Linked DNA regions of Tamandua tetradactyla. The protein of the gene in region 1 interacts with the protein of each later gene in a pairwise test. Links are inferred from orthologs where the notes say so. Each region holds a gene or a part of one and is shown on either strand. Other genes may lie near its edges. The genes, in order: SMURF1 and WFS1.

Region 1 (16,075 bases):
AGCAGTATCCTGTTCTTTTTAAGAGCTATACTGTATTCCACCATGAGAATATACCAAATTTATTTAACTAGTTCTCTATTGAAACACATTTAGATTGTCTCCAGTCTTTTATTATTTTAAACAATGTTGCAATAATTATTGTACCTAAATGCCTAAATTTTTCTATAAGAAAAATTCCACGAGGCAGAATCACTTGCTTTAAGGGTGCAGGCACTTAATATCTGATAGATGATACCAAACTACCCTCCATACCTATTGTGTAACCGAGAAATTAGAACGTAAGAGATAATTTTGATTACTGAATCATTATATAGATATTCCTTTTTGCTTTCTGGTATAATGTTAGTAGACAGAGGGAAATACCTGAAATCTCTAAATTGCAATACAGCTGCTTCTCTGACAATGATTGCACAGCCTTTATCTTGTGTCCCTGTGATTGTAAAAGCCTGTGAAAAACCTTCATTTGTACCCATTTATCCAGTTTTTCAACTTAGAGTCCTGTTATCACTAAGACAGCCCCTAATGTTTATTAATGAAGAGTCCTGGGTCAGCCCGGAACTAATCACCCCAGGTCCAAAGTTATCTTGATAATGGAGACTGGATCTAATCAAAATGGGCCTACCTGACATGCACGGTAGCTTAGGTTTTAACCTACAAGTCACTTATACCTAATTATAATACTAAAAATGACCCTCATCACCATATTAAGGCTGCCTTTTTCTTATATACGTTCTGTGACTAAGCACGTAATCCGTCTGCGCACGCTCAATAATTAGACCACCTTCAATTACATCATCTGGGCCCACAGTGCTCATTATTCTAAAACCTGCCCATCTTGTAATTCTATAAAACTATCAGAATTACTGCAGTTCGAGGAGATACATTTTTGGGCCATTTGGCCATCTGATTTCCTGCTACGTGCCTAGTAATAAACTTTTTCTCTCTGAAATCCCGGTGTCTCAGGAATTAGTCATTTGAGTGCGTTGGGCAAAAGAATCCGCTGCTTTGGTCTGGTAACAACTGATTCAATTTATATTCCCAACTAACAGCGTAAGAGTTCCTGTTTTTCCATACCTTTGTCATCACCGTATATTTTCAAACTTTTTGGCCTCTGCCACTCTACTAGAAAAACAGTGTTTTGCTCTGTCAAAAGGTTATTTGCCTTTTTCTAATTGATTTTGAAAGTCCTTTATATATTAAGGAAACCAGACTTTCATTGTCTATATGTTGAACATTATTTTTCCTACTTGGTCTTTGCATACTGATTTTATAATTTTACAAAGAAATCTATCCAGCAATTTTTGCTAAAGTTTTTCATCATTTATAATTGATATTTCAGCTGACTCTTTTAGATTTTTCAACATATACAATCATATATCTGCAAATAATAGTAAATTTGTTTTCTCCTTTCCGATGTCTTTCTTTAGTTAATAGCAATTGTGATAATGTACATCCCTGTACTATTTCTTTATTTTAATGGGATTGCTTCCAAGAATTCACCATGTAGGATGATGATGGCTTTGGCTTGTAGCATTATTTCTCTGAACACATAGAGAATTTAACAATTCTTTCTTAATTATTGTGCCTCCATGTTCAACAATAGATTTGATAGATTTCCTTCAATGTTAAAGTGTATCATTCGCTTTATCATGTACTCACATGGGTTATTTAAGAATAAGAAACAATAGGAATCAATGACTCTGTACATACACGACTGAACTTACAAATAACTACCCTTTAAAATATTTAATCTATCTTTATCAAATGCTTGTAAGAGATAAAATGACAGGTATCCCCATTACAGAGAGGAAAACTGAGGCATGAAAAGATTATAATTCTTTGCAGCCCCCTTCTGCATTACGGCATTTCTTTGAGTTAGAAATAAAATCAGGACCTTCTGACTCCCGATCCAATGTTTAAGGCACAAGAAAGCAGTGTGGCCTTCAGGGAACTCAGTGGATGCCCAACATACAAAGAAAAAGGCAGGCTGCCAGCTACGACCCACAGCTTCATAACACTCTTTTCCAGACTCCTGAAAGCAACCTACAAGTTGGACTCCTGAGCTTAAAACATCTGAAATGCATCACCCGGCAGCCAGCATAATAGGTTCAAGCTTCAGAGACACACGATGTTACCGACATTCCTCAACCAATTAGAATGCCTTTCAGCTGCAATGGAGGTGAACACAGCTGGAATTCCAGAGCGGGGCGCATCACCAGACACACTGACTGTACATTATTTAATCCTTGTTTTAAAACAATAAATGGATTTTTTTTCCTTTAATCCAGAAATGTGGCAACAACATTCCAAATATATAAGTGGATTAAATTGTGTCTGTAGACACAACAGTAATTCTAACGTTTTAAAAAGAAGATCCGCCGGATCCACAGGGCTATGTGCTTTTGCTTTTTAAGCACTGCTCTACAGCTCTCTTTCGAATAGAATGGCCTTAAGGATTTTACTCAGCTAGGAGGAAGAGTGCCCTGAACAAGAAGCCAATTTAAGGGGGGGGGGGGGCCTTCTCTCCATAAAATTCACTTACAAAACAGCACACAAACCAGCAATTTAAATTGTTGGGTGGAAAAAAAAACATATTTTACTTCCCTATTCATTTAAAAATAGGCAGCTTCTGAAATGATTTTGAAATTACAAAAATTTGATCAAAATAAGAATCCTAAAAGTTAGGCTTTCTTAACCAGAAAAATCAGAGCACTGTGAAGATAACAAATTATTTCACTCAATTGAGAAGATTTTTCTAACTTCCCTTTCTCTCTTACCACTTAATAAAATGCACAATTCAGCTATCTTTACTTATACTGAGTGCCCAAAACATGTTACAAAACAGCCAGTCTAGTTATCTGGACCATTGAGCTGATGTTGAAATATTATGGGTCAGTCTTTCTTCTTTTTTTAATCATGGGGAAGTATTTCTTCACAAGTGACACAAACCCTAGAACCTCCCCTCTTTAGCCCAATATTCCACACTAGAACATGACAACGTAGCTGAAGAGAGAAAATGAAAGGTGTGGAAGACAAGGAAACCCCAAGGTTCAGGAACTGTTGTGCTTGTGAAAATGTTTAATAAATCACAATTATTGTAAAAATGAGGATATAAAGTAAAAGAGATGCTTCACTTCTAAAATCAGCTAGATGGGTCAGTGAGATTCACCACAAAATAAGGTGTGTGGTGGCGTTGTTTTTAAGACAACACAAATGCGATCACATCACAAAAGCAGTGATAGATCCAGTATTTGGCCGAATGCGATTCTTTTTAAAGTATGACTGCAGTTTTAGTTTTGCAACAGCATTTGCTATGACCCATCTGACAGTAATAATTCAGCTCAAAGAAGTACCTTCTGTTAAGCCTTCAGGAACCCTAAGGAAAATGTTATGCCAGTACTCATAGCTAAAACCTGATCACTTATTCCATTTTATCGCCGCAACTGTGTAACAGTTGCTAAAGCAAAAGTTTTGCCTACCTCACATAAGTGAGGTTCTCTGTGTGTTCAAATTGACAAAATTATCATTCTTGACCGTTAATAAATCTCTAAGAGAAACAACTATTTCTAATCAATTAGGTCACCTGTTATTGCTCAATTAAAGTTATTAACAGCTATTACTACAACTATTGCTCTCTAAGCTGCATCATCTGGATACCAAAATGCAAGGCAGCCTTTCATCACATATGCTGCAACTTTAAAAATAGCCTGTCATTTCCATAGGCTGTCAAGGGAAGTATTTCCCCCTCTTTGCTTGGAATTGGAATTTTCTCACCTCACAATACAGAGTCACGTTCCAGAAGATATAAAAACATAAGAAAGTCTGGGAGAATTTCAAGGCACAAAAGCACAAAAAAGTTTAGGTATTTCAAGTAACTGGTTTAATTTTCTTGAAAAGCACTGTGAAGCTCAGAGAGCTGAAAATTCCATTATTTTACCAAAAGTGGCCAAAATAATGTATCTGGGATTCATTTGTGTACCACATAAGAACAAAGTTTTTGCAAACCCTACTTGAATTTTAAATGAAAATGTTTCCAAAGGGTTTGATGTGCCAATGAGTTAAAAACTGATGCTGTGATAATGCTCTTTAACAGAAATAGCTTCATTTTGCACATATACACTGAAACTAATTTAAAACTTTCCTCCTAAAACACTACAAAGACATTCACTGAAATTATATTCATTTAAATACAAAAAATTCAGCATTTTTCTACTGTTTAGGCCAGGTTGATAAAAGTGTTCAACATTATATTACCCAACAATTTTCAAAACCAAAAAGGGTCCATAAGAAAAAAAAGAGAAATCATGAAAGTATTCAATATACTAAATCAATGTTTGGCATAAATCAAACACGAGGGCTACATTTTAATACAAATTTCTGAATATGAGGATTGAGACTTAGCAACAGAAAGCACAAGTCCCCAACAATAATTTGGAATGAATAGGTGAAATCTGACAAATCCCATGAAAAGTAGAAGCAAAGACTATTATAATAGGATTGAAATCTCATTTCGTATGTTAGGAAAGGATAAAAAATTAGTTTCATATCATTTTCTTACTGGTAGATCTGACCAGAATCCATGACTCCTAACTCTAAACTTTTGCCCTATAACCAAACACAATTGTGTACCCAAAAAGTTCTAAATGGTGTTTCACAACTCCAGTGTCTGCATATGTTGCAATTAATTACGCTCTGTGTGTAATTAATTAATCATCGATTAGTTAGATAGCCCTCATTTTAAAAAATTCTTATTTTCAAATATCACACATGGAAATAAACTCTGAAACCAGTAACAGAAGCATTCAACGTTTGAAAATTATCTGCACAATGTGCCAAAAATGAAATGATTGCAAACTTCCCATAACAACCTTAAAAATGAAGTCAAAACCTATTCTATCTTCAAACAAACTATTTAATGTCACTGTTTCCGCATAAATTAATGTGCAACAGACAAGTGCCACCAGGTGCTTCCACCATCACTGCTTCACTCTCAACCTGCTGCAGGAGCAGTCACTCTCACAGACCAATTTAAAAGGAATATTTATTTCAGAAAGAACACGCATCACCTGATCCTTTAATAGCAAATGCCATACCAAACCTCTGTAGGCATTTCTGGATCTATGACATCCAAATTCCTGAGTCCAAAAATAATTTGGGAGAAGTACAAAACAAATCTTCTCCTTCAAGAAGAAAAGAACCAGGCCTAGGTCTGCCAACTAGACTTGATTAATATATATATATATATATATATATATATATATACACACCTGATGCATATATCTGTACCTGAAATCTTACTCTCTCTAAAATTTTAATCACATTTCTACTGAACTTCACAAAATCAGGTACTTCGGCTTTTAATAACAAGAAAAAGAAAACAAATGGATCTGCTCTCAGTTACAAATTACATTGTAAATGAGAACCAAATTAAGGTTGTCAGTAATTAAAGTTTTACAAGTATCACAACGTCAGAAACATGACTTTTATGTTGCCATAAAAATAACTTACTGTTTTTATCTATGCGTTGAGAAGTGTTTCCTAGCCACACCCTGGTATAAAGGATTATGCCTCTCCAGAAATCCCTAGTTTACACCTGTTACCTTACAAATCCAGGGTCTGGTTTGGGTCCAAATAATTCCTCAACTAACATCCTTGTTTAAAAAAAAAAAAAAAGCAACCCTTTTCTTGAAACAAAAAATGTATCAAGCAACTTTGTTTTTCTAAATTTTAGTTTTCATGAAACCACCGGGTTGTTTTCATGGATTGATTTTTCAGATGACCTCAAGGCTGTGCTGCCCTGAAAGGACGCGACCAGACTCTGATTTCGGAGTCCCCACTGGGCCCCGCCACTAAAGAGAAGAGAAATCGAGGGAAAAATCCCTGCGAGGGAGTGGACTGAACTTTTTATTTCCTTTCCAGAGCTGGAAGTATTGTGGTTTGGAAAGTCCCCGGCACAGCCATATGGGAGCACCACACCCCGCCTCAGGTGTGCGCACCTGGGGCTGCGCTGGGACACGCGGCTGCAGCCCGGACCCGCCCCCACCCCCGCCCCGGGGCACCGATTCCCGCGGTTTGCGTCCACACGCATCCCGGCCCCCGCGGGCCGGCCGCGGAGACCTGCACCTATACCCGCTGAAGACGAAATGAGAGTGCATCAAGAAGTGGGGGGAGGGACGCCTAGCAGGGGCTCACGGGCGTGGAGTGGGGTGACCACGGTGAAAGGCGGATCAGAAAGAAGCCGACTGGGGCACACAGGGACCTGCCTGAGACCGAGGGAGGAAGCGGACCAGACTGCAGAGCTTTGGCTGAGGAGGAGAGGTGGGGGGGACAGGAGTGGGAGAGGCCAGACGCTGGAACCAAGGAATTCGAGGCTGATGAGTTGATGCATCCGGATAGAAGCCAGGCGGCCGGGCGGAGAGGCCGGCCAGGCGGGACTCGGGAGGTGAGGGGCGGGGTCCTGAGAAGCGAAGGGCGGAGCCATGAGAAGTGAGGGGCGGAGCCAGAGAAAAGAGGGAGGAGAAAGAGGGGGCAGATGCAACAAGGCAGGTAGAGAGAAAAAGGAAAGCAAAGAGGAGAACGGGGGTTGGGAGTGAAAGGCGAGGGGACGGGACCAGGAGAGGAGAGTGGAGGAGGCAGGTGGGGGAAGAAAGAGGGAGAAAAGGAGGGGTACTTGGAAGGGAAGAGGTGGGGCCAGGAGGAAGAGGTGAGGGGTGGAGCCAGGATGGGAGAAGCGAGGGGGCGGGACCAGGAGGGGAGAAGCAAGAGAAAAGCGGTGGGAAAGAGAAGGGGAAGGGGTTAGACAGGGGCGGTGAGGAATAGGGGGCGGGCCAAGAGGAAGAGGTGAGGGGTGGAGCCAGGAGGGGAGAAGCGAGAGGGGGGACCAGGAGGGGAGAAGCAAGAGAAAGGTGTTGGGAAAGAGAAAGGGAAGGGGCGGGGCCATGAGGGAGAAGTGAGGGGGCGGGGTCGGGAGGGAGAAGCAAGGGGCGGGGCCAGCAGGGGAGAAGCAAGGGGGCGGGGTCAGCAGGGGAGAAGCGAGGGGGCGGGGCCGAGCAGGAGCGAGGGGCACTCGCTGAGGGGGTGACGAGGTCCCGGGACCACGGCCGGCGTGGGGGAGGGACACCCCCCAGGGCGACAAGAGGGGGCTTCCGGGGCTGGCGAGGGGCTGTGCGGGGCAACCGGGAGCTGGCGGGGCTCTCCGGGCCTCCCGCCGGCCGTACCTGTCAGACGGATCTTGATGCTGGAGCCGTTCCTGCGCGTCCCGGGGTTCGACATCTCCCGCCAGCGATCGGGCAGCCGCGGATCCAGCGCCTCCGCCCCCCGGCCCGGCCCGGCCCGGCCCCGCCGCCGCCGCCTCAAGGTTACGGCTCCGGGCTGGGCGCCGGGGTCCGAGCCGGGACACAAACTCCGCGGCCCAGGCGTCCGGGCGGCGGGTGGATGGTTGAGCCGGGACTTGGCACTCGGCCCCGCGCCCAGACCTTCGCGCCCTCCCCGCCGTGCCCAGCCCAGAGCCGCCGCTGCTGCCGCCGCCTCCACCACCTCAGAGCCGGACGCCCGCCGCCCTCGCCGCTTCCGCCGCCGCCTTCCCGAGCCGCGCGCGCACACGGCGCCTGCCTCGCCGGCCCGGCCCTGCGCGCCCCCGTCTGCGTGCGCGCGCCCAGGCTGCGTCGGGGCGGGACAACACGCGCACGTACGTCACCCGCCCGGCTGCGGGCGCGCGGCTGCTCCGCAGCTTGCGGACCCGGACCTTCCTGCTCTTGCCGGGCCCAGACGGGCTTCTCCAGGAAGCTGGGAAGAGGCTTGGCGGCCCCAGGAGCCGAGCGCCCCGGAGCCCACTCGCGGAGAAGCGCGGGTGCCCGGGGTGAGGGGTGAGGGGTCGTCCCGACACGGGTGGGCGATGCTGCCCGCCTCAGCCTTTGGTCCTCTCTGCGGGACCCGACGTGCAGATGGGAACGTGGAGGCTCCGAGGATGGAATTCTTTTCCTGGGCTCTGGCTCAAGGCCCCGGGCTCCTGCTAAGCTCCTGCAGGGAGGCCTCCATGAAACCCTGGCCTGTTCTTAGACTAAGCCCCTTGCGCAAGCGACACGGGCCTTCAAGAAGATTTTGAGTAGAGTTTTCAGATAATGCAGCCGATTCAAGGGGGCGGCTTCTCAATGAGACAAAGTCCCTTGGGTGGGTTTTGTGCAACTAATGCACTCTGTTGACCCGAAACAGAGTTGCCAGAATCGCGCAGAAAGTACCGTGTATGGACACGATAAACAAGATTTGTGAGAGGGATAAAGTTGAGGGGTAGAGAAGATGCTGGTCATGATCCAGTCTGCACACGGTTTGACCAGACAAGCAGCAGTACCGCCTACGTTTCCCTGCCTTCTGCTAACACTTCCCCTCCTCTCAGGGTTACAGGTTAGAACTAGAAGCTCTGTATACATTCCCTTGCAAACGTGGTGTAGAGAAGAAGAAATATATTAACAGAAAGGAAGGCTGGGTTGTTGATCAAACTCGTCTTTGACCCACTTTATGTAATCCTTTTAATGTACAAATTCTTTTAATTCGCTTATTTGGTTTGTGTCTTAAAGAAACCAGGCTCTGGGCAGTTGTGGCCATCCCTTGCAACCTTGGGCCTTTTCCGAGGTCACAGTCTTGGGACTAGGCCCCTGTCCCTAGAGCCCCTTGGCAGTGCCTGCCAGCTGCAATCTGAGCCAAATGAAAGCAGAGTCCTGCTTTGACTGTCTGAGCTTCAATCCCTCAGAAAAGTGTGCCTGGATCATTTGTACGGCCTTTTGCTGCTCAGACTTTAAATGGTTCTGTGTTTAAGCTACAGGACAGTAGACCCAGAATCCAGCTCTGTTTCTCTCTGCAGGCAATTGTCCCTTGATCTGAATAAACCCATTTACAGTTGGTTGTCTAATGTCCCCAAATAATCCCCATTCTTCTTTCATCCCAGTCAGTATTTCCTCCTCTTTATTACCATATTCAAGAAGTCTATTCTTTCTCAAACAAACCCGACTCTCTCTCTCTACTTACCTGTTCTGTTCCCCCACCATTCCTGGCCTGGAAACCATTTATTTCTTAACCACATTGTTTTCTTATCTGCCTAGATGTCTGGACTTTCCTTTGCTTGATTATTTCATCAACACCCCCCCCCCCCCCCGCCTCCAGCCCCCACCCACCCCTGGCCAGGAGGTCCTTTCTGGAAGTTTGCTGACAGGTATTTTGTTTACTTGGTAACAAGTAATTACGGTTATTTAACTGGAAACACCTAATGGTGTGCTGCCCCACAAACTATACAAGGAGAACCTTCCTAATCAGAAGCTAACACTTAATTCATTCACCAAATCTTGGCCACCTATTCAGGGACACAAGTCACAGCCTCAGCATCTCAGAAGCTCAGCTAACTGAGAGACAGACGTAAACAATTGACACTGATGCAGGGATAGAGATATGCACAGAGGGCCAGGGGAGAGGTTACAGGGCAAATCTGCCTTTGGGGAGGGGATGGGGAGATCTCAGAAAGGCAATATAAGGACCTTGGAGGCAGTATTTGCCAGCAAAGGGCTGGAGAAGGGCTTTGTAGGCAGCAGGAGCCTCTCATGCAAAGGCATGAAAGTAAATGTGTTTTCCTGCAGTTTCCAACACCAGACCAATCGCACAGCTGCAGTATCTTCCATCCATACACCTTATCCCACTCTAAGTTGATAAAAGATATTTGCCCACTTAAAAATCATCAGCCACTTAACAAAAAAGTCATCAGCTGCGATTTTATCCTAGGCCTCATACTGAACTTAAGATCTACCCTGAAATTTATTCATCCGGTATCAAATTTTGTCAAAAATACTATCTTCTAAAACCATCTGGAACACATGGACACTGCGGTGGTTTGGAGTTGTTCTTAATCTGAATTCATTCCTGTGGGTATGAACCCATGGTAAATAGGACCTTTTGATAAGGTTGTTTAATTAAAGTGTGGCCAACTGAATTAGGATGGGTCTTAATCCTGTAGAGAAGGCCACAGAGAGAAAGTACTGGGAGAAGCAAGAAGTAGGAAGTTCAAGGGACCCGGAGGAGAAAGGGGACAACATCGCTGTGTGCACTGCCGTGTGACATAAAAAACAAGGACCAAAGATCACCAGCAGCCAGCCCCAGCCACAATATTCAGGGAAAAAACATTGTCTGGCTGACACCTAGGTTTTGAATTTCTTCTAGCCTAAAAATTGTGAGCCACTAAATTCCTGTTGTCTAAGAAGCTAGGAAACTAAAACAGGAACTATCAAATATTTCTGCTGAAACAAAGCTGGGACTCAATGAGTTTTTTCACATGTCCTCTGCAATGTCTAGAAGGCGCAGTTTTGACCCTGCTTTCTATGGGCTTGGCAGCTGATTTTATTGCCCCCAAATGTTTCATTTTCCTGCGTCAGTGTTATAGGGCATCTGAAAACATTTTCCAGTGGAAATAAAAATCTTTCTTTGGATCTGGCTGTAGTAGTTCTTAACCTGTTTCTGAGTCAAACCTCTTTAAGTATCTGATGAAAACTCTGGACCCTTTCCCCAGAAAAAATTCATGCATGGCAGATGCCAAAGTTTGCATCCAATTTCAGTGGGTTCATGATCTCCTGAAAGCAATTTGTGGATGTTGTAAGGGCTCTAGATTAAGAACCGCTCTTCTAAAGGAAATAATCATTCAATAATCTTTACGACTATCTCATATGTATGTGTTCAGGAGGTAACACCGAGCAGGGAAGGCTTTGGAAAAGAAAACACATACAGGCCCACCCGCTACCCTGCCTCCACCACAAGTTCAGCTGGGGACAGAGCAAGTTAATTACATTCTCCAAGCCTCACTTTGTCCATCTGTCAAATGGGGATAATAGTGTCTCTCACCCAAAGTCAGCACGAGGGTTAAGTTAAACCCTGGATGTGGACTTAGCAGTCTAATAGAGCAGATGCTTGGTGAGTGGTAGGACATATAAAATGTGTGTGCTCATCTTTGTTCCAGTGCCTACTATGGGAGATGCAGCCGCAATTACTATTGGGGAAGTTTGGGAAATTGTGCAGAGTATTCCTGGCAGGAGTGGACAGCTATACCACATGCCTCTCGAGAGCACGATTCTGTACATGAGCCAGTGCCTCTGACACCAGTGGCTGGATGAGATCAGCCCTTACAGTCGTCTCTAGAGCTAGGAGCTAAACTCCTTTTGCTTTTCATCTGAACATCAAGTTTTTAAAATAATTGGATGTGCAAAATTGTGATACTTAGCACATTTATTTACTTATTCTTTTAGGCCCAGATGGTTTTAGGGTCTTTCTCTAAGTGACAGATCTAATATTTCCAATCTGCAAGGCTGACTATATTATCATCATTGGTAAGGGTTATAACTTAGTATTTTTTTCTCATTGAAATTTTAATTGAGATCATCATGGATGGATGATTGTATAGATGGAAATAAGACAAAGGGATCCCTCTGCCTGGCGTCCCCAGAAGACATTTTGCAAAACCATAGTATAAGATCACAATCAGGTGTGGGCCCAATGACTTAGCAGGCAGAGTGCTCGCTGCCATGCCAGAGACCCAGGTTTGATTCCCAGTGCCTGCCCCCCCCCAAAAAAAGATCGCAATCAGGATATTGGCATTGAAACAATATGACGAGGTTACACAGATTTCCCCAGTTTTACCTATACTGATTAGTGTGGCTATGGATGTTAAATGGTATATAGTTTTAACACCTGTGTGTTCCATAGATCCATCACTAGAATCAAGACACCCAACAGTTCCCACACCACAAAGACCCCTTGTGGCCATTTTATACCATCGTCCCCCAACCCCTGGCAACTACTAATCTGTTCTCCATTTCTAAAATTTTGTCATTTCAAAAATGCTATATAAATGGAACCACACAGTATGTGATCTTTGGGGATTGTCCTTTTTCACTCAACATAATTCCCAGGAGATTCTTCCAAACTATTCCTTTTCATTGCTGAATAGTATTCCACGAGCAGTCGTGTGCGCCACAGTCTAAGTCTTCACTAGTTGAATCCCATCTGGGCTGGCTCCAGTTTTTGGTTATTACAGATAAACTACTCTGAACTTTTGTGTACAGGTCTTGTATGTGTGTGTGTGTGTGTGTGTGTGTGTGTGTGTGTGTACATATGTTTTAATTTCTCTGGGATAAGTGCTCAAGAGTGCGACTGCTCGGTCATGCATGTTTAACTTTATAAAAAATTGCCAAGTATTTTCTGGAGTGGCTGTACCATTTTATATTCCCACCAGCAATATATGAGTGAGCCAGTGTCTCTACATCCTTGTCAGCATTTGGTATTGCCACTATTTTTAATTTTCGCCATTCTGATAAGTATTTTCTTATGACTGAAAATATTTGAGATAGATGATTCCTTCAAACATATGCAGCCAGATAATTGGGGACAAATTTCAAAATTTTTCTTTAGGGCGGGCCATGGTGACTCAGCAGGCAAGAATGCTTGCCTGCCATGCAGAGGAACCGGGTTCGGTTCCCAGTGCCTGCCCATGTTAAAAAAAAAAAAAAAAAATTCTTTAAAAGCATAGTTCTCGCCTGCCATACCAGAGACCCAGGTTCAATTCCCAGTACCTGTGCATGCAAAAAAAAAAAAAAAAGGACACTAGTTGAATCCCTCACTCTACATTCAGAAACAGCTATGATCAAATGAGAAAATTATTGAATTGCTGTTATTCATAAAAAATATAATTTTGTTTATAAAATAGTTCCCACTTGGGTGAGCAGTTTTTTAAACAATTAAAATTATTATCCTAATAAAAGTAATTAAAATGCCTGATAATATAGTAAGCTCAATTTTTAAAACTCAGAAATAAGCAAAGGAGATGTCCAGGCTTCAGGTCTCCTGCTTGTTGAAGAATTTCTGATCTTTATTGGTTCAGGAAAATAGGGCAGAAAGTTCTCCCAATTCATTATTTCTCACTTATGCTATATAACCAACAATAGTCAGGGATGAGCCAAAGGATATCCCCATAAGGCCTTGAATCACTATTTATTGGCTAAATATTTTACTAGTTTTTGGACAGAGTTGGAGGAAACTCTACAAAATAGGTAATGGTTCTCAAAGTGGGGTCACAGGAACGGCAGCATCTGCTCCATCTACTGCAGCCTGGGAACTGTTAGAAATGCAAATTCTCAGGCCCCACCCCAGACTTATTGCATCAGAAACTTAGGGGCTGGGCCCAAAAACCTGTGTTTTAACGAGCCCTCCACGTGGTTCTGATGCAGACTTACCTTTGAGAACCACTGTTACAAGCATACAATTAACTTTCTATTGTTTTCACTTTTAGTTAAAGGAAGGGAGCAGAGATGTACAAAATCCAAAACAAGGGTATTTGTGTTAGAATGTTAAAAAACAAATGTGGGTAACTTAAGCAAAGAATACAATATATTAGAAGAATTTCAGGGGATTCATCAAATCCTTGGATGGCTCTGAGTGCAAGTTAGAAAAGGGGCAAAGATCAACACATTTCACCAGCCAAGGAGCAAACTCTTTCAACAGAAAGAAACAGTATGGCCAGGATGACACCCCTGCTCTCCCATGAATTAATGCCATCTGTCCCTTCACCCTGGGGTCACTCTTTCCAGATTGCCCAAGCCCAGGAAGGAGTTTCCCAGCCTATTGAGTCCAGACTAGGCCTGAGGTCAGCAAGAAGGAAAGCAAAGGCCCCCTTTTACTTTTGTAATAGGGACTGCCTCCTGCCCAAAGCACACACAATAGTGCTTTCTCCCAATAGGAAAGGGGACCCGATACTGAAGAGTCCACAAAATCTGTCTCGGAAATGTATGGGGGAAGGAGAGTAGCAGATGTACATCTCCTATCATTTGATTAAACTGATACGAGAGTTTAAATCAGATCTCCTTTTTTTGATTCCCCAACCACATACTGACTCTCATCAAAGGATGGAGGCAGCCTAACAGGAGAGGCTGAAGTAGGTCTGTAATTCCAAACAAATTGGAAAATTCATGAATCACACAGTCTTGCACCAATTATCAGAAAAGACCTGTAATAAGTACGCATCTGTAGCAAATATTAGCCGACGTTTCTGTTGGCAGGAAGGTGACCTAATTCTCCAGTCCTACGGATATGCTGAACCAGTAACCAAATCACTGCATCCTTCACGGTATATAAATCAAACTCATCTTTCTGCTGGGACCCAGCGAGGCTGCAATCTTACCCTGATTGTGCAAAAATAGAAACAAGCGCAGATAAATGTGACAAAGATTTCCCTAGTTCCAAGAAGAGGGTGGGAGCTGTACCTCATTATTTAAAGGCCTTAATATAAACAAATTAAGTTAATTGGGGGTTTAATAGCAGCATCTGGTTTGGGTGAGGGATGATATATAATTATTAGCTACTATTCCTGCTTAGTGAACGTGATAGGAGATTTTCAAGGATAGATATTTCAAATCCAGTCTCACTCACTTTTTTCAATGCCTGGTAGAACCCTGTAGGGAGCTTAAAGCAAATACTTTCGTCTGCGTCTAACCTTCTATCTGCCTAGGACCTCCCTGGATGAATGACACTTAGCCATTCATAGCTTTAAGACTTGTGTCCTTTCTTCCCAAGAATGGTGTCTTTGAAAAGCACACTTTTGTCATTTGTACACACCTATGGGTAATATTTGCTCACTTTTCCTCTCTTGGTCATTTGCAGATTTTTTTTTTAATTCTGCCTCTTATGGGGTCATTTTTTTTCTTTTTTAGTGCAATTTTATTGAGATATATTATATATCCACGTACCATAGAATCATCCAAATTGTACAACCGGTGTTTCACAGTGTCATCATATAGCTGGGCATTCGTCACCACAAAAGATTTTTGAACATTTTTCTTACTCCAAAAATAAATATCAAAAGTAAAAATAAGAGTGAAAAAGAACACCTAAAACCTCCAATCCCTTTCCCGCCCTATTATTTATTTATTTTTGACTTTTTTTTCCTTATCTGTCCATATCCTGGATAAAGGGAGTGTCAGACACAAGTTTCACAGTCACACGGTCCCACCTTCAGAGCTCTATAGCTATTCAATCATCTTCAAGAATCAAGGCTATTGAAAAAACGTTTATTTGGTACAAAATTTATATTTTGACTAGTGCATTTCCTAATATAACTTATGTAGATAGCTTGATTGAACACCATAATTACTTGGAATCTTGGGTAGGACATGAGATTTTGTTGGTTTGTCCAGAGTGATGCCCCGATGAATCCCAGAGTGATTCAATCAGTGCGTAGAAAAGTATTTGCAAAGTCCCCTTCGGGGAATGGTGAGAACAGGAAGAAATTCAACTTCCCCAAGTTGAATTCTTGATATTCTCACAAGCAGTATGGACAAGCAAAGCTATAAGCTGAGCCCCCAGTCTTGGGTTTTGTTCATATGGAACTTAACCCCACAAAGGATAGGGCAAGCCTACTTAAAATTTAGGCCTAAGAGTCACCCCTAAGAGAGCCTCTTTTGTTGCTCAGATGTGGACTCTCTCTCCAGCCAACACAACAAGCAAACTCACCACCCTCCCCCTGTCTGCGTGGGACATGACTCCCAGGTCTCCCAGGTGTGGACCTTTCTGGCAACGTGGGACAGAAATCCTAGAATGAGTTGAGACTCAGCATCAAGGGATTGAGAAAACCTTCAAGAGTGAAATGAGACAAAGTGTCAATGGCTGAAAGATTCCAAACAGAGCCGAGAGGTTATCCTGGAGGTTATTCTTATGCATTAAGTAGATATCACCTTGTTAACCAAGCTGTAATGGAGAGGCTGGAGGGAACTGCCTGAAAATGTAGGGTTGTGTTCCAGTAGCCATGTTTCTTGAAGATGATTGAATAATGATAAAGCTTTCACAATGTGACTGTGTGATTGTGAAAACCTTGTGTCTGATGCTCCTTTTATCTACCTTGTCAACAGACAAGTAGAACATATGGAATAAAAATAAATAATAGGGGGAACAAATGTTAAAATATAGTTTGAAATGCTAGTGAACAATGAAAGCGAGGGGTAAGGGGTATGGTATGTATAATCTTTTTTTTTTCTGTTTTCGTTTTATTTCTTTTTCT
Region 2 (13,776 bases), on another chromosome or scaffold:
CAGGAGCTAGGGGTGCCTCACTCTTTTCCTGCTCCATTGAGGCAGTGGCATTGAGCCGAGAGCGGGCCTGGGGCTGCAGCGGGGGCCCAGGGTGTGGGCGAGAGGGGCTCGGAGGGGTGGCGCTGGAGTCCATACTGCCTGCAAGAAAAACCGTGTTCAGACGCACACCAGGGTCAGATGCACGCCAAGGCCAGTCAAGCAGGGCAGCTTCAGCATTTACTTTTTGGGTACAGAGAGGGGAACACGCAGACAAACAGGCATGGTGGCTGCCAAACATGCTGTCTGCCATCTCCTGGAACCTCCCAACAACCCCTGAAGGAAATCGAGAACAGCAACTTTCTCAAAGAAGCCTGGCTCAGCATATCATCTAGCAGTTACAAACTTGGACCCAAAAGTCTTGAAAAGCCACATGACCTTGGGCCTTGGTATCCACATCTGAGAAATAGGGGCAAAATAATAACACCCTATGGCTCTTTTGTGAGGATTCAATAAGATAATCTACAAGGAGCATTGAGCACAGTGCCTTATGCAGAATGAAGGTTAAAAAAATGTGGGACAGGTGGGATGGGGCAGGGGCTGGGTCGATAGAAGGTGGTAGGGGAGTGGAGAAGGACAGAAGGGGAGGGAAAGCGAGGGAAACAAAAATGACAGAGGCAGAGGCAGGATTTTAAACCAGAGCTGCCCAACTCCAGAGTTCTAACCAGAGGTCAAAAATCACAGAACTTTAACATCATCAAATATTAAAGCATGTTATAAAGCATACTAGCTTAAAATAGCATAGTACTGGTATAATGGATTACTAGAATAGGCTACAAGTACAGAACACGTCTCCAGTTAAGGGAAAGGACTCAGTTAGTCAATAAAATAGGCTGCACATGCTGTTTAGCAACTGGAAAAAACCATCAACATAACCAAAGGGCAACCATGAGTCACAGACCCAGGAGGTCCCCAACACCTCAGCACCTGGATCCTGGGGGCCCTGCATGGGCTTCAGGGGCCCACAAACCTGTGAAATTCTCGGTTCCATGCGCACACCAAGTGGTGAGCACAGGGAAGGTTGGTCCTCAGATTCCCAACTAGGACACGGGCTCCAGGAACAGTGCCCCTGAGCTGCATGGTCCTGGGTAGGTCACGGCCCTCCATCTCTGCACCTCAGTGTCCTCATCTGCTGGGGCAACTACGAGACCCAAATGAGGCCAGAGACCCAAGAGCTGCTTGAGGGGCAGGGTCCTAGCCGTTTCTCATCACCTAGCTCCTTGCAGTGAACCTGACCCAGAGGAGTGCTGGAGCTATCTGCAGAGACAGTCAACGCCGGAAGCCAGGGGCAGCCAGGCTGCCAGACGCCTGTCCCCAGGGGCCGTACCACCATCTCTGCCCCCTCCCCATGCGAACGAGTCCTGAAGATTAAATCTGTGCCGGCCAAAGAACACTGAAGATTTCAATCTGGACATTCCTCTCTCGGAGAGAACTGAGCCCTTCTTTCAAAACATCCTCTGGGCTGCAAACAAAACGCCGGATCAGGTGGAATCTACTTGGGAAACTGACTCCATGCTCAGTGTATTTCAGAAGTCCAGGCTTCTGGGAATCAAAGCTAGAGGCAACTCTTGCAGGCTACATCACGGAAGCCACATGCAGACCCGAGAAAGCAGAGCCAGCTGTGGGCGGGGAGCAAGCCAGAGCAACACGACAACCCAGAAACTACAAAGCGGGGAACGACTCGCAGAAACATCGGCTCTCCAAACCACACATGGCACTTCCCACCACGCAGTCCCACGTGGCTCCAATGGCCCCTGAAGCCCAAGTGCCACCTGCTTAGAACACAAAGGACAACTCGACCTCCTGAGAGCCTTCCCAAGCCAGGGCCAACCCTGGCTTCAATAATGGCAACAACAAACGCTGCATGTGGACAGTGCCATGTGGATTTTCTCTGGGATCCCTCATCTCAGCCTTACGTGTGACGGAGGTACAACTATTATCCTGGCTTTAAGATGGAGAAATGGTTTCTCCTTCTACCTTCACCCCATCTCAGGTGAGAAAACTCAGGTCAGGAGAGGTAGGAAAGGTGAGGTGTGTGCCCGAGGCCATATGGTAGGTTGGATTCTGTGTCCTAACAAATGTACATCCATTGTTTATCTTACTCCACGTCCCTGTGGGTGTGAGTCACTCTAAACAAGACCTCTTGAAGAGGTCATTTTTGGTTAATGTGTGGCCAAATGAATGGGGGTGGATCTTAATCCTATTACTGGAGGCCTCACAGACAGAACCCGGGAGCAACAGGCTGGAGAAAGGAGAGGACCTCACCAGGTAACAGGAGGCGGAGATACAGATGAGCAGGCCGGTGAACACTAATCTTTGGGGAGAAAGCAAGCTTTGTTGAGATCTTGATTTTGAACTTTTCCTAGCCTCGAAACCATGAGCCAACACATTCCTGTCATTCAGCCCACTACCGCGTGGCATATGTGACAGCAGTTCTGACACTGGGATTCGAATCCACATCTTCCTCACTGCAAACCCTCTGATTTTTCCACTGCTGCAAGCTCACTTTTGAAATAGTGACCTGTGCTGGTTTGAAAGGATGTATATCCCCTAGAAAAGCCATGTTTTAATGAAAATCCCATTTCGTAAAGGCAGAATAATCCCTATTCAATACTGTACATAATTAGATCATCTCCCTGGAGATATAACCCAATCAAGAGTGGTTGTTAAACTGGATTAGGTGATGACATGTCTCCACCCATGTGGGTGGGTCTTGATTAGTTTCTGGAGTCCTATAAAAGAGGGAACATTTTGGAGAATGAAAGCGATTCAGAGAGAGCAGAGCAGAATGACATAGCCACGAGAAGCAGAGTACACCAGCCAGCAACCTTTGGAGGTGAGGAAGGAAAACGTCTCCTGGAGAGCTTCTTGAAACAGGAAGCCAGGAGAACAAGCTATCAGATGATGCCGTACTTGCCATGTGCCTTTCCAGATGAGAGAGAAACCATGACTGTGTTCACCATGTGCCTTCTCACTTGAGAGAGAAACCCTGAACTTCATCGGCCTTCCTGAAGCAAGGGATCTTTCCCTGGATGCCTTATTTGGACATATCTATAGACTTTTTTAATTGGAACATTTTCTCGGCCCTAGAACTGTAAATTAGAAACTTATTAAATTCTCCTTTTTAAAAGCCATTTCTGGTATATTGCATTCTGGCAGCTAACAAACTAGAACACGGCCTTTCAAACTCTGGGCCCTGTCCGCCTCTGCAATCAGACCTCCCACTACATCCCCTTCCTGGTCCCTCACTCCAAAAACTCTGCTGCACTTCAGCATCAACCTGCAATCACTTGCCCTAGATGGTCTACAGGGCAGAGGATCAAGCTCCAACTTCCACGAGTTTCCTGGTGGCCTCTGCTCTGAACCCATGTCTTCCTCACCTGCTCTCAGTAAGAGTCTGAGTTCTGAGTATCCTCATCAAAGCCCTCTCTCTGTCAGGCTCTTAGAAACTCACTGATCTTGTACCCTCAGGAGGAGCCCTGGATTGGAGGAACAGCACAGACCCAGGACACAGGGCACTTTACAAGCAGACAAAACACCGGGAGTGGAACCCAGGTGCACCTTTCTTAACCTCACTGTGTCTCAGTTTCCCCACCAGTAAAGTGAGGATATTACCCCCCATACAGGGGTGCTAAGGGGACTCAGGGTTGATGGAAGAGAAAGCAACCTGTGAACTAGAAAGCATTTTTAAAACCCAATCAAGAGTGGTTGTTAAACTGGATTAGGTGACCACATGTTACTCCCAGGTACTACGTAAAGACAGGTTCGACTGGAAAACACCTGACAAAAGAAATTTCAGGAAAGTACTGGTTCTGGCTGGGCTGTGAGGCTAGATATTATGCATGTCACGTTACAGTCAAAATAAAACTGTTTAAAGTAAAATCTCCGCTGAGTCAGAATGGGTGAGTGAAGGAGGATTACTTGTAGGTTCCTTGAGGGGTGGCTAGTCCTCCCCTTGTTACCGCAAAACAAAACGATTCATTCCCCAGGACTGACTGGGTCACAGGGCCTCATGGCCGGGGTCCTTCTGACTTTGACATAAACCCTTCCTTTTCTACCGAACCTTTTCCCCAGAACTCTGTGACCCCTGAAGCCCACCCACTGCTGGATCCCTGCTGACGTGCTCGGGGTCAGGGCTGCCAGGCTTCCCAGCAGGAGTGCTGGCTGGGAGCCAGCGGATTCGACTTAGGGAGACCATTAGCTAGTCCCTCCCCTAGGCCCCAGAACCAGGGTTCACTGTCCACACGGACCCCTCTGACCTCCCCATGGGTGGAGGGCTCAGACCCAGCTCCCACCTGATGGCTGATGCAGAGGCTAGGAACGGTCGTTGTGCAAAATCCAAAAAAAAAAAAACCAGAATGGCTCGCATTCTTTACCCGTGAGCTTGAGCTCCGAGTATTTTTATCCCATCGAAACACAAAATGCCAGCACCATGGAGCTCAGCTGAGGGGCCACCATCCTAGAGGGCCTGCTCGGCCCACGCATCTACTGAGACCTGAAAGAGGAACCACGTATGGCACTGTGCCCAAGATGCTCTTAGCCGTGCTGGGCTGGCCGCAATCCCACACTCCCAGGAGGCAGCCCTGACCCCTGAGCCCACTCCTGAGATGTGTGTCTTGGAAAGCCTTAAAGGTGCTCACTCCAGGGACAATCAGAGCCCACAGGACTCACACATGAGGGGTCCCTCCCACCCCCACTCTTCAGGACCATCCAGAGAGCAAGTGGTTGTACAAATTACGGCCCCTCCATATGCTGCAACACAATATATTTTCAGCTAGTAAATGTGACTTTGTATACAAAGATTTAAAGACCAGGAAAATGGCTGTATCATACTGTTAAGCAACATTTAAAATAGCACAAGATATTAGCCCAAGTCTGTTTAGGATGAAAAGCAATACATCCACAGAAAAAGATGGAAGAAAATTCCCCCAAAACTTTAACAATGGTTTTCACTGGGGTTGGGGAGGATGATGGGTGATTTTATTTTATTCTCTTTTTTAAATGCATTCCCTTCATTTTCTATAATGAAGATGCAATGTTTTTTCAATTAAAAAATAAATATTATTTAAAAATCCATCTGCAACTAACTCCTAAAGGAGTGGGCGTCCGGGAGCAGGACGCTGGGGTGAAGGAGTGGGAGGGGTCTCTGAGGCTGGGATGTCTGCTCCTGCCAGGTCTCTTGGCCTGAGGCCCTGACAGAGGCCTACTCCTTAAGACAAGGGCACAAAGCCCTTGGTGGCTCCCGGCTACCTATTTTTGCTCTAGAGGATTAAGGGCCAAACTCCTTCCAACGCGGCAAGTTCACATAAACCTCCAGCTGGGGATGTTCGGGACACAGTCCCAGATGGCTACAGAAAGCTAGGTGCTACCCCACCAGCCCGGCCCCCATTGCATACCTGGCACCTGCTCTGCACCTGTCCGGGCTGCTCAGCGTGCCTGGATTAAGGAGCTATTTTATGCCAGACACTGTCCTGACCACCCACACCCTGAGAGGAAAAAACAGGGCTGGCCTTCCAGGTTGGACAGGAGGGCAGCTCCTAAAGAGGTGACCAGCTTCATGCAGTAAGAGCAAAGATGGGGCAGCACTTGGGGCTGTGGAGCACAGAAGAGGTCCCTCACTCTTCTGTGCTCCACTTTTCCCCAGGGAAAAGTGGGGGTTCTGCAAGAGAGGCCCTGTCTGGCCTCTGCATTCCTTCAGCACAGGCAGCGTGGGGGGAGGGGAAGGAGTACTGGTGACCTGGGCTTCTTGGCAGGGGGCTGTGCCCAGGAGAAAGGAGCAAAGAAAGCGAGCCACAGCGTGTCTAGAAAGTTAAATGTGGCTGCGAAGTGAGCGCCTGTGGGAGACACAAGCAAGAAGAGGCTGAGTAAGCTGCAGGGCAGGTCAGGGAAGGCACTGAATGCCAGGCTTAGAAGATGGACCTGACCCCACAGGCCAGAAAAAGCCAGAAAGCTACTGAGCACAGATGTGGCACGGTTAAAGAACCATCCACAGAGGGTTGTGTGGATACAGGAACAATCAGGGAGGAGACCAGGTAGCCACTGAGACTTGGACTGAGGAGGCCTGGACCAGGTCAGAATTCAGAGAGGCTCAGGAGCCAGGCCAGATAGGCACCGTCTCCAGCTAAATTTGACGGATGATGGGGGGCAGTCAGGGGGTACCACTTGCTGAGGTAGGGACGTGGCGGGGGATACTCTGTGCAGCATAAAGCTCCATAATTATGATTTTCCTGAGCACCACCATCATGGATGAGTGTTTGGTATGTGCCCTGCAGATTTCCAGGGATAGAGATGGAGTCATGCTCTCCTCTGTGACAAGCACCAGCCCAGACGGCCTGTCCAGTGCTGGCCTGTGACAGACAGGGGAGGCCTGACTGGGGGAAAAAGTGAGATTTCATTTCCTAGCCAACCTTTCCTGCACCTAGTAAAGGCCCATCCACTGCGGGTGCAGGAGAGGGTGAGGGGGCCTCCCTGAGGGAAAAATGCTAGAAATGCCTCTCTAAATCCCTGGTCCCAAGCGAAGGGGCTGCAGTTAGCCTCAGAGCCCCCTGGAGAGGGAACAACAGGTGGGTGGCAGGCAAGGTGGCCCCTGGGCTTCCCATCAGCAGGCTCCCGGGCTGCGGCAGCACAGGCTGGGTGAGCGATGCACCCAAGCAGCAGGAAAGCCCGCGACAAGCAGTAAAGCCCTGGGCCAAATGCCAGGGGTCACTGTCCAAGGAGAGGAGACACGGTGCTGTGCTTCTTAGCTCCGTTGTGGGTGTGGGGCGGAGGTTTCACTCCAGGCTGCGTTGTCCCAGGCAGGCCACCAACCCCCTTAAGCCTCGGCTCTCTCTTGCATGACATGGGGACCACAATCCCAAGACTACTGTGTGCGTATGGGGTGGGGGGTGAGGGTGCTGCACAAATGTTAATGCCTTGGAATCTCATAACATCAACTACAAAAAATGGGGCTGGAGGAAAGGCTCCATCACATCCAAAAGGGCTGTGTTGGATTCCCCAGAAAACTTCCAACTGCCCAAACAAAAATCAATGTCCCGCAGGGCCAGGGCCAAGGGAGCTGCCACTGCCCGCTCCCTTGGTGAGAAGGAGCCTGTGGAACCTGAGAAGGGGAGTGGCTGCCCCTCAACTCCTAAGCGGACTTGGGGGCTGGGGGTGGTTCAGCCAGGCCAGGAAGCTGGCCCCCCGCGGTGGCCCCCACTGTGGGGCCCCGAACCCCGTCAGTCCGCAGCCTCTGGTGGGGGCTGGCGGAGGGGGTCCCGGCGCCTTCCAGCCTGCGGGGAAAGGGCCGTGATGGGGCAGGTCGGTCCCTTCAGCTTTTCTGCCCGCCCTGGGGGTTCACCGCCGGGCCCCGCGGGCTGGAAGTGCTCGGAACGCGGGCACCGGCGGGGACCGAGGGGCGCGGGGCCCGGGACAGGGTCCGGGGCGGGGCGCGCACCCCCTGCACCCAATCTCCGCCCACGGAGGGGTCGCCTTGAGCTCGCAGGCGCGGGCGGGGTCCCCAGCCTGCCAACTTCTGAGAACTTGCAGGGGCCAAGAGGATCAGCACCCCCACCCTTCCACGCAGAAGGGGAAACTGAGGCCCGAGGCGGGGTCGCCTCCCAGCGTTCCCGGGTCTCGTTACAGCCCCCGGCAGACTGCCTCCCGCCCCGCCATACTCACCCGACTCACCCGGCCCGCGAGTGAGCCCGCGTGACGCCTCGACGCCCTCGGGCCTCTGGGTCCGCGGCAAGTTCTCGGGAGGCGCGAGAAGGGCCGGAGCCGGGAGCGAAGCACCGGGAACAGACAGTGGCGCTCGCTGCTGAGGGAGCCGACCAGCGCAGCCCAAGGCGCCGGGGAGAGGGGCGGGGAAAGGGGCGGGGCATCCGGACGCCCTCCAATCACGGCACGGCCCGAGGACGCGAAGCCAGCTCGACTCGCCGAGCAGCCGGAGCACCTGCCAATCAGGGTGCGCCTCGCCAGACTGCCTCCGGCCCTCCCCTGGTGCCGCCTGTTCGGAGGACGCCGGGTGGGCGGGGTCTGACACGCCCACCGCCAAGGTTTCCTAGCGGACTTGAGGCCCGGCCCCGCCCCCGGTCCCGCCCCGCCCACACGCTCTCCATCGCTGGGCGGAGCCCCTCGCCTCAGTAAAGCAGGGCCGGACTCCAAAATGGGTTCGCCTTTTGTCTACATCTCAGGCCCAAAGAGCCCCAACTTCAGATTCATTATAGTTGCTCATATAATCTTAACGAGTGCATTTTTAGAAGCTTTAATTCCGGCCTTTCCAGTGGTAAGAGGGGGCTCACCAAATAAAACAAAGCAGAGAGAGAAAAACTGAGTCTGTGTAAATGTTTGCATGTAACCAAGCCCTGCTCTAAATGCACACCATCAAGTGCGACGTAGCATGCTTTCACGGGGTAAGTGTGAGGGCTCCCCTTATAAAATAACGTGTGCGCGTGGAGTGACGCTAGGTTGGGGAGCTTTGGAGACCCTCTTTTTTCTGTGCTCTCGGTGAGTGAGAGGTGGGGTTCAGAGGTGAGGGAAAGGTCTACTTTGAGAATGAGAGGCCCTGTCCCGCCACCTCGGGCTCCTGGGGCTCTGTCCCCTGCCAGGATTTGTATTCACAAATGGTGGTTCCATTCACCACCAGCTACCCCCTGGGGCAGGAGGCTTTAAACTCATTTTTACTGATGGAAAAATTGAGGCTCAAAGATGGATAGTTATTTGCCCAAAGCAATGCATTAAAAATTGTCCTTACCCCCCTTATAATGCACTAATTCCAGAAAATTTGGAGAATACAGAAAACTAAAAAGAAGAAGAAAATCACTTGAAGACAATCACTGTTTACTTGTTGGAATATGTGCATATTTTGCATATTTTTTTAAAAAGGATATTCAAGCATCATTATGATTACACCATATATATAGTTTTCTATCAAAGTCTGTTTGGTTCGGGCCTATCACAAGAAAATACGGATTCTCAGATGTTCTTAGTGCCTTTGAAAAGGCATATCCCATCGCTAGGCTGCTCCCTGCTCCCCATCCCAGATTTTGGAGCCTCTCCCTCAAAACTCCCACACCTCCGGCTGCACATCTCCTGTCCTAGGGATACTTGTTCTCCCATCTCTTTCTCCCACTAGAGGACAGGGACTCTGAGCCCATCGTGTACTGCATGCCTGGCACATAGTAGGCCCTCAATAAATATTTCCTGAGAGAATTAATCACTTTCAACAATCTGCCTTTTCTAGAATTTGGGCTGCTTCCCATTTCATGATCATATTTGTTTTTAGAAATAACACTGTGATACATATCCTCGTTCCAGCGAAGTTGCTAAAAGCAAATAAAGACAGGGAAACCAGCGTGGCGTCTAGATTTATGACTCCTTTCTCCCTGTGTAACCCTGGGCCATTTATTCCACCTCTTGCTACTCCAAACAGGCTCTGGGGACCAGCAGATTCGGCATCATTTCGGCTTGTTAGAGATGCAGAATCCCAGGCCGCCCCAGGCCCACCAGATCAGATCTTTTAACCTGCACATTGACATTCGGGAAGGTCTTTACGCCTCAGTTTCTTCCTCTGTAAATGAAGAAAACCATAGCAAATAGGACCTTTTGAGGATTCTTTTTTAATTGAGGGGTGGCCAAATGAACCAGGGTGGGTCTTAATCCTATTACTGGGGGTCTAATAAAGAGAAATCCAGTGGGAGGAGCCAAAAGTCAGCAGGAACCTGGGAGAGAAAGGAGAGGACATGACCAAGTGACGGGAAAGCCAAGGAACCCAAGAAATGCCAGCAGCCAGAACGCTGCCATCCCTGAGAGGAAGCCGGCCTTCTAGCCTCTGAAACACATTCCCATTATTTAAGCCAACTTGTGTGATTTGTCACAGCAGCCTGGAAACTAAGACATCATGGTAGCTAACAAGGTTGGACTTCTCATGCTTGTTAACTTTGAGAAGCATCTGCCCTACCATTTATCTACTGGTATCTTAGAGGCTCTTTATAAACCAGTTAAATGAGCCGCTTCTATTTTTGACCCTCCCATCTTTACAATTCTCTCCTCCTCTCCTTTTACTGGGGAGCCCTGGAGGCTAGGTGGCTTCCCAAAGACCCAGATGGTTCCTGCAGTCCACCTTTGGGGAACCAATATAATGATTCAGCAGTCATACTCACTTATTAAATCCTATCTTCTCTGTTATAACTTCACCTTCTCCTTTGCTCTTTCTCCCAATCTTTAGGGGTATTTGAGTTCTGCCCTTTCTAACTTTTTCGTGTTGGAAAGGGCTGCCAATAATATGGGATAGGGGGATGGAAATAACTGATGTTCTAGAGAGGCTGGGTCCTCTGGATTTCAGGACTTATCTGGCCTAGGAACACATCTGGAAGTCGTAGGTTTCTGGAAAGTAGCCATAGTGCAGGAAACCTTTTTAGAATCTCAGATAAAGCCCTCGATGTTCTTTAGGGTTGCCAGGAATGGTTTTGGTTGGGGTTTGGCAAGCCATTATAATGGCAATATCTAGCTGAAGCATGCATAAGAGTAGCCTCCAGAGTGGCCTTTCCACTCTATTTGAACTCTTGTGCTGGTTTGAAAGGATGTATGTCACCTAGAAAAGCCATGTTTTAATCTAAATCCCATTTCATAAAGGCAGAATAATCCCTATTCAATACTGTATGTTTGAATCTGTAATTAGATCATCTCCCTGGAGATGTAACCCAATCAAGAGTGGTTGTTAAGCTGGATTGGGGGAAATGTGTCTCCACCCATTTGGGTGGGTCTTGATTAGTTTCTGGAGTCCTATAAAAGAGGGACATATTGGAGAAAGCCAGAGATTCGGAGAAAGCAGAGAATGCTGTAGCACCACGAAGCAGAGTCCACCAGCCAGTGACATTTGGAGTTGAAGAAGGAAAATGCCTCCTGGGGAGCTTCATGAAACAGGAAGCCAGGAGAGAAAGCTAGCAGATGATGCCATGTTCACCATATGCCCTTCCAGCCAAGAGAGAAACTCTGACCATGTTGGCCATGTACCTTCTCATTTGAGAGAGAAACCCTGAACTTCATCAGGCCTTTTTCTTCTTGAACCAAGTTATCATTCCCTGGATGCCTTAGATTGGACATTTCTATAGACTTGCTTTAATTGGGACATTTTCTCAGCCTTAGAACTATAAACTACCAACTTCTTAAATTCCCCTTTTTAAAATCCATTCTGTTTCTGGTATATTGCATTCCAGCAGCTAGCAAACTAGAACAACTCTCTTAGCCACTGATACCTTGTTATAATTCTTTCCCCCCTTTTGGTCAGGAAGGCATTGTGAATCCAACGGTACAAGAGTCAGGCTCATCCCTGGGAGTCATGTCCCACATTTCCAGGGAGACTTTCACCCCTGAATGTCATATCCCATGTAGGGGGAAGGGTAATGATTTCACTTGCAGACTTGGGCTTAGAGAGAGAGCGGCCACATCTGAGCAACAACAAAGGTCCTCTGGAAGTAACTCAGGCGTAACGAAAGGAAGGCTTAGTTTCTCTGCTACATAAATAAACTTCACAGGGGCAAGCCTCGAGATCAAGAGCTTGGCCTAATGCCTTGGAGTCCCTAATGTTTGAGAGAGTATCAGGGGTGCCGACTCATGCGTTCTGACCACAGGAACAGAAGTGGCCTCGCTGCCCACCACCGCCTGACTGGCCACTGCCTCGTGGGCACTGAACATACTTCACGAACCCTTGGAGAAAACACAACAAGTAGAGGGAAGAACACTGAACAGTTTCTCCTATAGAAGAGTGAGGGAGGAGAAGAAATTGAACTTCAGCAAAATATGTGAGACTGCTGAAGGTGCCTCAGTCAGAACACAGAAACCCTTTACATGCTCCAGGGAGCTGAAACACTAAAAATGTAATAGGTCAGCTCAGAAAGACCAACCATCCAGGAGAGAGCAATATGCTTCTCCCATCATCAGTCCATGTGTCCCACCTGCAGTCCCCTAATTTCTTCCCACAATCCTTAAATCCTGTGCTCCACGTTCTTGCTGCTTCCTTTCTACCCACATTTAAAGCTGACTTCCCTTTGCTCACCAAACATCTAGTGGCTTCCCACCGGTTCCAGGCACTGGCTCTGCAAAGTGTGCAAAGAAAAAGGAAGAAGGAGGCCTGGGGAGTCATCTTCTAAAAGAGAGCAGAACTGGGGGGCTTTTTCAGACTATTGGTATAGTCGGCTAAATGATTGACCCCCCCCCCCCAAGATACCAGGTATTCCTGGAACCTGTAAATGTGACCTTATCTGAGAATATCTTTGCAGTGATCCAGTGAACAATCAAAAGATTGGGAGATTCTACTGGTTATCTGTGTGGCCCCAAATGCCATCAGACGTGTCCTTTTTTTAAGGTGGAGGTAGAGGGGGACTGGGCACACCCAGCGAAGGCGATAGGTGAAGGTGGAGCTAAGAGATTGGAGCATGCTGGCCTGGGAGAGTGGAGGAGAATGGTTGCCCACCAGGGAATGCCAGTGGCCCCCAGAAGCTGGAAGAGGCCTGTGATAGTTAGATTCAGTTGTCAACTTGGCCAGGTGAGTGTACCTAATTTTGTCGCTGCCAATGGTACATGAACCTCAGCTGTTGCTGATTTACATCTGCAGTCGGCTAGGAGGCATGCCTGCTGCAATGAAGGACGTTTGACTTAATTGGCTGGTGCTTAAATGAGAGACCGCAACGTAGCACAGCCTAAGCAGCTCGTCATTCCTCATCTCAGCACTCACAGCTCAGCCCAGGCCTTTGGAGATGCAGAAAGAAGTCACCCCGGGGAAAGTTGTTGGAACCCAGGGGCCTGGAGAGAAGACCAGCACAGACCATCCTGTGCCTTCCACGTAAGAAAGAACTTCAGTGGAAAGTTAGCTGCCTTTCCTCTGAAGAACTAACAAAATAAATCCCCTTTTATTAAAAGCCAATCCGTCTCTGGTGTGTTGCATTCCAGCAGCTAGCAAACTAGAGCAAGGCCACGACATGTGACCCAGTAGCAAGCACTGCCTTCAAGCTTTCCACCTCCAGAATTGTTTTCATTTAAATTGGAGGACTGAGCACAGAGAGAGAGAGAGAGAGAGAGAACGAGATAAGGCGCCTGAGCTCTTGCCGTGGCTGGATCATCAGGTCAATCTGGCTTAGCTGAGGTTTTTAGACCTAGAAAAACTCACTGGATATCTCTGAGCCTCACCTTGTTCCTCACCTATGAAGTGAGGGCAGTTGCCAGAATTCCACAGGGTTTGAGGAAGATCCGTGAGTTCCCTTCTGCGCAAGGTAGGACCTAGCACAGCGCCTGGCGAGCAGTGGGACTTAGTGGGTGCTGGTTTCCTTCATTATCACACCCCAAAGCAGCGCAGCTCCCTCTACACCTCGTGGCTCTGTAAACCCACCCCGCAGCCCTGGGCAGGCAATACGGCAGGTGCGCATTTGAGATGTGGAGTGACACGCCCACAGTCACTCAGTGACACCTTTTGGGTCTGATTGTCCCTAAAGCCCTGCTGTGCCACCTCCACCCACATGCCCCAGGTTTCAAACAAACACCCCCAGGCTTCCTCCCGGGCCTCCCACCCGCGCCTCCCGGCAGGGAACTTGCAGCCCGTGATCAGTCCTGAGCCGCTCCTGTCATCTTCACAAAACCCAGAGCTGGTGGGAGAGGAAACTTCTCGTTCACTTTAGCAGGAGACAATAGAGCGAAATGTTTTGCATCACAGCACTTGGGAGAATGTCAAGAGGAGCTGAAAATTGCTCAATTCAAAATCTTCCCCAG

The links.
Region 2: the proteins of SMURF1 (region 1) and WFS1 interact in binary tests that used the Homo sapiens proteins (3 or more experiments, as listed by UniProt). The link is inferred for Tamandua tetradactyla from reciprocal best matches to the Homo sapiens genes SMURF1 and WFS1.

Annotation. Positions count from the first base shown.
Region 1 is NC_135349.1:7,190,134-7,206,208, forward strand, and holds the start of SMURF1 (E3 ubiquitin-protein ligase SMURF1), read right to left. Parts: upstream 7,327-16,075; 5' UTR 7,273-7,326; coding exon 7,218-7,272; intron 1-7,217. UniProt on the Homo sapiens protein: E3 ubiquitin-protein ligase that acts as a negative regulator of BMP signaling pathway. Mediates ubiquitination and degradation of SMAD1 and SMAD5, 2 receptor-regulated SMADs specific for the BMP pathway.
Region 2 is NC_135345.1:6,647,849-6,661,624, forward strand, and holds the start of WFS1 (wolframin), read right to left. Parts: upstream 7,860-13,776; 5' UTR 7,702-7,859; exon of another isoform or gene 7,693-7,701; intron 139-7,692; 5' UTR 134-138; coding exon 1-133. UniProt on the Homo sapiens protein: Participates in the regulation of cellular Ca(2+) homeostasis, at least partly, by modulating the filling state of the endoplasmic reticulum Ca(2+) store.